Arabidopsis thaliana: one gene and its partner. The protein of the gene in region 1 interacts with the protein of each later gene in a pairwise test. Each region holds a gene or a part of one and is shown on either strand. Other genes may lie near its edges. The genes, in order: AT5G47060 and PFA-DSP3.

Region 1 (4,366 bases):
TTGATAGATCACATAATTTATTGAATTAATATATACAAACAAGAGTTCCACTAATTCTTATTTGTTATTTCGATTCCACTATTCAACAAGGTCCACACTATTATTAGAAATTCAAACTATACTTACCATAAATATCGAAATCACAACTAGTCAGTCACACACCTATTCTAACATTAGAAAAACACCGACCTCATTGCACCACTATTATTTGTAGTTGTACCTCACAAAGCACCTCCCTCAAAGTCTTCGCAAAAACGTCACCCACCACCACGAAAATTCATAACCAAATAAAACGACAATTTTGTAATTCTTGATTTAATAAAAAAATTAAGTAAAAAACAATATTCTTACCATTTTGTCGCCATATAATAAGAAGAAGAGAGACACAACACAACACAAGTAGTAGAAGTGGTGTAGTGATTACGGTGTAACGCTTATTCCAAAAACCCCACGCGCGTAGGGCCCACCTCTCCCCCGAATCCCCATGATTTTCTTTAACGTCTCTCGAGTGCTGGTGGGACCCTTGTTTTATGGAACCCTGATGTAGTTTTATGTACTTTCATTTGTGACCCTTATACTTCTGTTAATTACAATCTTGCCGCTATTTTGTTGCTTCCTTCTTGTTTTTGTTACCTTAAAACTTTTGTTTGAATGCCTTCAGAAAAAGTTTACTTCTCTTTAGACGGATGTGATCACTTGTTCAATGTAACACCACCGTAAGTTACAGTGGTTAAAATGTCTGGTAGAATTATAGCTGTATATATTTATTGATCTCTAAAAAATTAGCTTGTAGAAATTATTGTCTTTAAATTGTTAGTAGGATCCATCCAACTACTACTTAAAAAAATCTGATTAGTATAAGATATATTTATGATTAATAGAAAAATAATTTTTGTACAAGAGATTAATAACTAAGATAGTAAAATTCTATCATTTCATTTCTAAAACCAAAATAGATGAAATTAATAAATAAATAATTATTGATTTCATGTGTGTTTAAACAATTTTTTTTTGTATCACATTATGTAAAGTAACAAGTTATCAATTTCATAAAAAAATATTTACGATAATTACATTGTTTTCTTAATTTTTTTGTCGACTATATATCTTAAAAATAATGTTAAAAATGCAACAATTTTGACAGTAATTCCTAATCATACGAAAATTTTCAAACTTTGCAACTTCTTCATGTATTATTGCATTGACAATCAGTTAATAATTTTACTTTAATAATGTTGTCTAAGTAAAAAAGAAAATTAAAAGTTAATAATTGAACTAAAAAGTGAATGTCGAAAAAAAACATTTAACTTTTTTACTTAGCTCTCTCGAAAGTTCCTCAAAAACCGAAGGACGAGTAAGTCACGAAAAAGACCATTTTGTAACGCCTCTCTATCAATTATTCCTCTATGTGTCAATAAAGTATATTTCTCAAAAGGAAAACAACAAAAATGGTTTTCGATTTCTTGTACTTTCAAAAATAGCATAAAAGCCAATAGATTCTCCTCTCTCAAAGTTTCGCCCCTTGTTTTTACTTTCTCTCTCTTAAACCCCAAAAAAAAAAAAAAGATCTTTTGCTATAAAATCCCACTTCACACTTTCTTCACATCAACAACAAAACCTCTCTCTCTTTCACTTTCTCTCTAAAAACCAGAAAAAAAAAAAATGGAGCTTTCATCGAGAAAGCCTTATTTCATTGAGGAAGAAGAAGAAGAGAATTTGGCTTCTTCTTTATCAGAAATGGAAGCTGGGTTTTCTGGTAACAATAATAATAGTAATAACCATGGAAATCCCCAAAACGGTGTCGTTTCTTCAAGCCGTTTCTCTTACGGTAGATTAAACAGTCTTAGGAACAGTCAGAGTTATTATTACAATCAATACTCTGTTTCGTCTCCGAGATCTGTTGTGTCTGGAAGATTTCATGATTTCAGATTCGATATTCAACAACCTCATTTCTTGGACTCGTGTTTCCTCTGTAAGAAACCTCTTGGTGATAACAGAGACATCTACATGTACAGGTAACATCTAAGATCTATAACATCAGATCTGTTTTTTTTTTGTTTTCTATCAATTTCTCTCATTTTTAGTCGAAATTATTACGAAAGGATTGATTTTTTTCGAATACCCATTTCTTCAATCTTCTGATTAATCAATTAAACGATTCATGGGTCTGATTTCAAATTCCTCTGTTTTTGGTACAAATTCTAGAACAGAACATATTTTTAATTTTGTTGTTTCATGGGTCTGATTTGAAGTTTTTGATTTTGTGAATTTTTTGCAGAGGAGATACACCGTTTTGCAGTGAAGAGTGTAGACAAGAACAGATAGAGAGAGATGAAGCAAAAGAGAAGAAACAGAATCTGTCTCATTCGGTGAAATCAGCTATGCGGAGGAAAGAACAATCTTCACCAACTAGATCTCGTGATTATGCTTTTCACAATGGAACTGTTGCTGCTGCTTAATTAAAAATATCTGGGAACTTTGAGAATTATTATAATTAATTAGGTTAAGAAAAAAATAAGCTATATTGTATCTAACGCTATGAAGCTGGTTTTGGATCCTCTCTCTTTCTCTCGAGATCTTAAGGATCTTTTAAAACTTTAGCTTCAAGTCTTGGGAAAAAGATGAAGAAGCTAAAGATCCTTTAATTTTCTTTTCTTTTTTTGTAAGAAAAAAATAGTTTCTTGACATGAAATTTTGGGAGTATGAGAAGAGAAAATGTAAATGCCTATGTGAATTATAATAGTCCATGGCATGTTTGAGTTATATTTTTTCTTTTGTTTTTAGATTTCGGTATCAATGTCTTTCGAGGGATATACAGATGTTAAATCAAATTTTAATATGTTGAAATATGAGAATATTATACGAGAAAACAAGAGTAAGCATTTTTTTTTAACTTGCTATATAGTTTTTTTTTTGGTAAGTACTTGCTATATAGTTTAAATGACGTATTTGTGATTTGATATAAGATTGAGCAATAGTTTGAAATTGATTCTTTTTGTGGTAAGATTTGGTGACTTGCGAAAAGTGGGAAATAAAGGTATAAAATATCTTTTTCCTTCAAATGCTTTTGATAGTACAGTTTTCTTTTTCTTCACGAAATCGGTAGTACAATATTTTCTGAAACAAATAATTAGATATCTTTTTTGATTATCAGTGGACCAGAAACTCAAATAAATTGAAGTATAAATATATATATATATATATTAAAATAAGATTTGTAGAATGTAATAATGCTTAAAACGTATAAAGTTTTCATGATAAATTCCAAACAACAACATTGCATTTGCATTCGTACATAGAAAACTTTGGCTAAAACGTTACGCTATCAACATCAAAACACTCTCATAAAACTTGATCTCAATGATTCTCATTCACCGTATTGAATTTTATTTACAAAACACACAATAAGATACATTTTCTCTACTAATCTCACAATAAACCAACAAATTGCATAAACTTATTTATAATATATAAACTTGCAAAAAAACTTCTAAACTCAAAATCATCCTCTGACACTAACCCCTCTCAAACTTTGTTTCTCAGGTTTTGCAACTTGTCTCCTCCTTACCTGACTACTTTCCTTGGTCGTAGTCGTAGCCATCGGATAATCTTCACTATCCGATTCTTCGATAATCTTTTTCAATCTTTCCACTACAATTTCCATCGTAGGTCGCTCTTTATCGTTCTTTTTCAGGCAAAGATCAGCCAATTTAGCCAAACTCCTAGCTCCAGCAGCTGGATAATTGTTGCGTAACCGAGGGTCAACGATCATGCTGAAACGTTGACTATCAGCAGGATACTCTTTGACCCAATCCAATAGCCTTCGTTCAGCCACTGGCTTGTTCCTCTCAATGGTTCTGCGTCCGGTTATGATCTCGTAGAGCACAACACCGAAGCTATAGACGTCGCTCTTTAACCGAAGATGACCTGTTTGCACGTATTCCGGAGCCGCATAGCCGTGTGTTCCAACTCTCTATACATAGAAAGAAGAAGAACTGTTAAAACTTTGTAACAGATTCATCACTTTAAAGTACGAGTGAGCTTATAAAATGCACATTTATATATCAAACCAAACTTACTGCGGTAGTGACATGAGTATTGTCGCCATCAGGTCCTTCTCTGGCAAGCCCAAAGTCCGATAATTTTGGACAGAATTGATCGTCTAAAAGCACATTAGAGGATTTGAAATCTCTATATATCACCTGTCAACCAAATAAATAGGAAATTATCTTCCAATCTAAACACTAAACACACATCCCCGGTTCACAGAAGTCTCGATCCTAAACTACTAATCATGTCTCTATGACCACATTTAATATAACTTAATGTTTAACATTGTGCCTGTCCGAAAATATCAAGAACAATA
Region 2 (4,442 bases), on another chromosome or scaffold:
TATGATTATATCTCTGGAGGTTCACTTCAAGACCATCTTCATGGTACTAAATTGAGAGATTCTCATTGAACACATTTTTTTTACTTTGAAAGAAATGACAATTTGAATTTTGCAGAACCAAAAGCAGACAGTGATCCGATGGATTGGACAACTAGGATGCAGATAGCGTATGCTGCAGCGCAAGGGCTTGATTACTTGCACGATAAAGCGAATCCACCCGTGATATACAGAGATTTGAAAGCTTCAAACATTTTGTTAGATGATGACTTTTCTCCTAAGCTTTCTGATTTTGGTCTACATAAGCTAGGACCCGGGACAGGTGATAAGATGATGGCTTTATCTTCACGAGTAATGGGAACTTATGGTTACTCTGCACCTGAGTATACACGAGGCGGAAATCTCACTTTGAAATCAGATGTCTATAGCTTTGGTGTTGTGTTGCTTGAGCTTATCACGGGTCGAAGAGCTCTTGATACTACTAGGCCTAATGATGAACAGAACTTAGTTTCTTGGGTAATAAATAACAAACCCTAATATTATTGCACTTTTTCAACCAAGTTAAAACAAGAAGTTTTTATCTTGCTGAACAATTCATGTTATCGCAGGCACAACCGATATTTAGAGATCCGAAGAGGTATCCCGATATGGCAGATCCAGTTTTGGAGAATAAATTCTCAGAGAGAGGATTAAACCAAGCAGTGGCAATAGCTTCAATGTGTGTGCAAGAGGAAGCATCAGCTCGTCCTCTTATAAGCGATGTAATGGTTGCGCTTAGCTTCCTTTCGATGCCTACAGAAGATGGTATTCCCACAACAGTTCCTATCTTATCCTTCAAAGACAAGAGCATGTCTATAGCCTTAAGCCGACATGATTCAAATCTTGTATCTCCTCCTCCTGAGCTAGCTACGGAAGATGACAAATCTAGTACCTCATCAGGCGAAGAATCATCTTTGGAGAGCGAAAAGGAGAGTGTGAGTAAGAATGAGTATAAGAAGAAACATGAAGAGGAAGATAGCTCAATGGAATCTGATGATGAGTCTGATTCTAACTCTGAACATGAAAAGGACCAACCACCAAAGCCTATTGATGAGAAGAACCAGGCGCAAAGCTTGAAGATAAAGTATAGATATAGCTGGGAAGATATTGATGTCAATGATGAGAGGCTAAGCAGTAAAAGCAGCCAAAAATCAAACGACGAAAGTACTTCTTCGCGTTATGATAGCGACAGAGATCAAGACGAGAAAGGGAAAGAAGAAGAGGAAGAGGAAGAGGCAGAAGAAAAGCATACTCATATTGAACACATTGATAGCTCAAAAACTGATGATGATCAAAGTGTTTACTTTGATAATGATGATGATTCAGGAGATGACAATGGAGGCTCTTTGCATCGGATAAAATCAGATGTTGCGATCGATTCTATTAAAGAGTGACATTTTTCAAGATTTTTTATCAATCCGTTGAAGCTCACAAGAAGTATTTGAAACTTTTTTGGGTTTATTTTTGGGAAAAATTCTTAATTGGGTATTAAAATAAGATACATATTGACGGTTTTTCTTAACAAATTATAACCATCTCTCTTTATACATGATGAAGATGTTTTGGATTGATAGATTAATAAAGAAACAAGTTGTATAATCAGATAATCTGATTGAGAAAACTTATCTCAGCTTTTGTAATCCTTTAAAAAAAAATGTTACGTACTTGTGTTTTTCTTTAAATAGTAGATGAAATAATAATAGTTTAGCATTTTAAAGAAAAACAAGTATGAGATAATCAAACCCTAGATAAGAATCTTAATAATCAATCTTAGCTGTGACTCATATAGCCTATGAGCAAATATTACATTATTCATAGGAAATGGAAAGTATTAGATTCTCAATTTGGATATACTAAAGTAGATACTTAAACTGATAGATAAAAGACATATCTACTTCTTATCCTATTTTTGCAATTAAGGATAGTCTTTGTGTTTTCCATCTTTTTGTCAACGACACTTGTCAAAAGTTTCAGTCTGTGGAATCAAAATTTTTAAATGAGACCACTTAGTTTTACTTTTCTTTCATGATTCGACCACTATACTTTCTAAGAATATTTATTTTAATCAAAATTAGATAATGTTTACAGGATTGACCCAAATTAGATTCGTAAAGAATCGTCAGCTATGAGGTCAAATAAAAGCAGAGAAAACGACACGTGTCAGGATCTTGGAGATTCCTGAAGTGAGGTCCACCCTAAAATCCATTTAAGGTTTTCTAAGCAAATCAACAAAGGAAGGAAGGATCCTACCAAAAGCTCCCAAAATCTGAGTACGCTTTTCAAAGTTGTCTCCTTTATGAACCCCACTTGATCCCTTCTCCTCCTATAAAAACATCTTCTTCTCAGATCAATCCCATCAAATCTCGGGTCTTGCTCTGTTTCTCTCTTTTTGATTCTTTTAGAGGTTTACTGAATTCGATGTGTTTGATTATGGAAACGGATGATCACAACGGTGATGTTTTAGCGCCGCCGTCGAATTTCTCGATGGTTGAAGATGGAATTTATCGATCTGGGTTTCCTCGACCTGAGAATTTCAGTTTCCTTAAAACCCTAAATCTTCGTTCCATCATGTAAGATCCTTTATTAATCTTCTGGGTTATTCAATTATACTGTTTGATAATTGATTATGATTGGAGTAATTAATCGTTTTTTTATTCATCAAAACAGTTATCTGTGTCCTGAACCATACCCAGAGGAGAATCTCAAGTTTCTTGAGGCTAACAACATTAAGCTTTACCAATTTGGAATCGAAGGCAAAACGGTGCGTTTTGCTTCTTTCTTGTTGCTTGTTGTCAAAGAAATGCAATTGTCCTTGATGTCTTATCTCGGATCTTTTACGATATGCAGGATCCTCCAACTCCTATGCCAAAAGATACAGTTTTGGATGCTCTCAAAGTTTTAGTTGGTAAGGAATCAACACTCAATAATGTTTTTTGGTCTCTTCTTAGCTAGTTCATGAGTCTTAAAGTAGATCTTTTGTTTCTCTGTAGATGTGAGAAACCATCCAATTCTCATACATTGCAAACGCGGGAAGGTAATTTACAGTTTCTTCTTCCTCTTCTAGGAACTTAGCCTATGTTATTATTTATTACAGGACACTCATGGTGGTCTTGGCTTGTCTTATTTAGTTATGCACAGTACACAATCTTTTTGTGGTCCTTTAGGAAATAGGCAGTTATTTACAGGACACTCATGATTTGGTGTTTTTGGTGAACTTGCAGCATAGGACAGGTTGTCTAGTGGGATGCTTAAGAAAAGTTCAGAGCTGGTGTTTATCATCGGTGCTCGAGGAGTACCAGAAGAACGCGGGTTTAAAATGGAGACAAAGGGACTTGAATTTTATAGAGGCATTTGATATAGTGAGCTTGAGACAGTGTCTCTTGAGCATCATGTATCAGTATCACGGTTATGGCTTCAAGAGGAGAAGGTTGGCATATGAAGAAGAGAATGTCAAGACACCAAAACCGCAGGCTGCTAGAGTTTAAAAAGAGAGCAACCAAGTGGCATATGTTCCGTGTTCTGATTTGAGTTTAATCGGTGCCTGGATTATTCTTTAAGTGGGATAAGTTTTAGTTTACCCCAAAAGCCGTAACCAGAAGTTTTATTGTGTTTTTTAGAAATAGAAATGTATAGAAAGTTTATTCTTCATTACAATCTGATGCAGGGGAGGTCATTTTTAACTCAATGACTCATTCATGCTTATGTTGCTTTATTTTATTTTATTGGTCAAACTCCTAAAGTTAGCTTAATCTTGTTGTTTAAACTTCAAAGTCTCTTTGGAATAACCATTAGCAATAATATAAGTGGTACAGCAATAATACCATGTTTTAAATTCTTGTAAAGAGTTCTTCGATAATCTAATCATTTATAAAGAGTTCTTAAATAATCAAACCAGTAGAAATTAGATCAAAATTAGCAAGAACTTGCAGTACAATTTTCAAATCAAAAGAAAAAAAAAACTGATTTATGTCCAGAAAACCTCTCTAGCCAATCAAACTGAATTTTAAAAGATAACATTCGGTAGTATACTTTCGGTATGAAATCAATTATTAAAACAGAGAAAACAGAGGAGGTTAAGAGTATCGAGTCAGCTTCTAATATATACCATGTGCACTGCAGTACAAGGTATATGACTAATCTAGCACATGTGTTAGGAAAAATATGTTTTCAAAGATAATTAAAGAAATACAAGTTGATTAGCAGCATTCTTTTACTAAAACAGCCATATTATATTCATCTATTATATATTTAGCTTTTTGATTTCCATTCTCAGAATGAAAAAGTGTGCAGCTATAATTGACATTGTCTATGTAACTATGTAACACATAATTGACAAAGAATAAGCAAAACCGGGAAAATTCTATCGTAATTTTTCTGACCAGAACTAAACCGAGAAAAATCCATAA

The links.
Region 2: the proteins of AT5G47060 (region 1) and PFA-DSP3 interact in a two-hybrid assay, tested with the Arabidopsis thaliana proteins (one study listed by BioGRID).

Annotation. Positions count from the first base shown.
Region 1 is NC_003076.8:19,115,181-19,119,546, forward strand, and holds AT5G47060 (hypothetical protein (DUF581)), read left to right. Parts: upstream 1-1,604; 5' UTR 1,605-1,662; coding exon 1,663-2,015; intron 2,016-2,278; coding exon 2,279-2,459; 3' UTR 2,460-3,037; intron 3,038-3,284; downstream 3,285-4,366. Other genes in the region: AT5G47070 (Protein kinase superfamily protein), read right to left, coding at 3,503-3,973, 4,080-4,202. UniProt on the Arabidopsis thaliana protein: May act as an adapter to facilitate the interaction of SnRK1 complex with effector proteins, conferring tissue- and stimulus-type specific differences in the SnRK1 regulation pathway.
Region 2 is NC_003074.8:605,717-610,158, reverse strand, and holds PFA-DSP3 (Tyrosine phosphatase family protein), read left to right. Parts: upstream 1-2,251; 5' UTR 2,252-2,454; coding exon 2,455-2,606; intron 2,607-2,703; coding exon 2,704-2,797; intron 2,798-2,883; coding exon 2,884-2,941; intron 2,942-3,026; coding exon 3,027-3,070; intron 3,071-3,257; coding exon 3,258-3,521; 3' UTR 3,522-3,874; downstream 3,875-4,442. Other genes in the region: AT3G02810 (Protein kinase superfamily protein), read left to right, coding at 1-43, 116-513, 606-1,430. UniProt on the Arabidopsis thaliana protein: Cleaves the beta-phosphate at the 5-position of soluble inositol pyrophosphates. Has highest activity on 5-diphosphoinositol 1,2,3,4,6-pentakisphosphate (5-InsP(7)), 1,5-bis-diphosphoinositol 2,3,4,6-tetrakisphosphate (1,5-InsP(8)) and 3,5-InsP(8).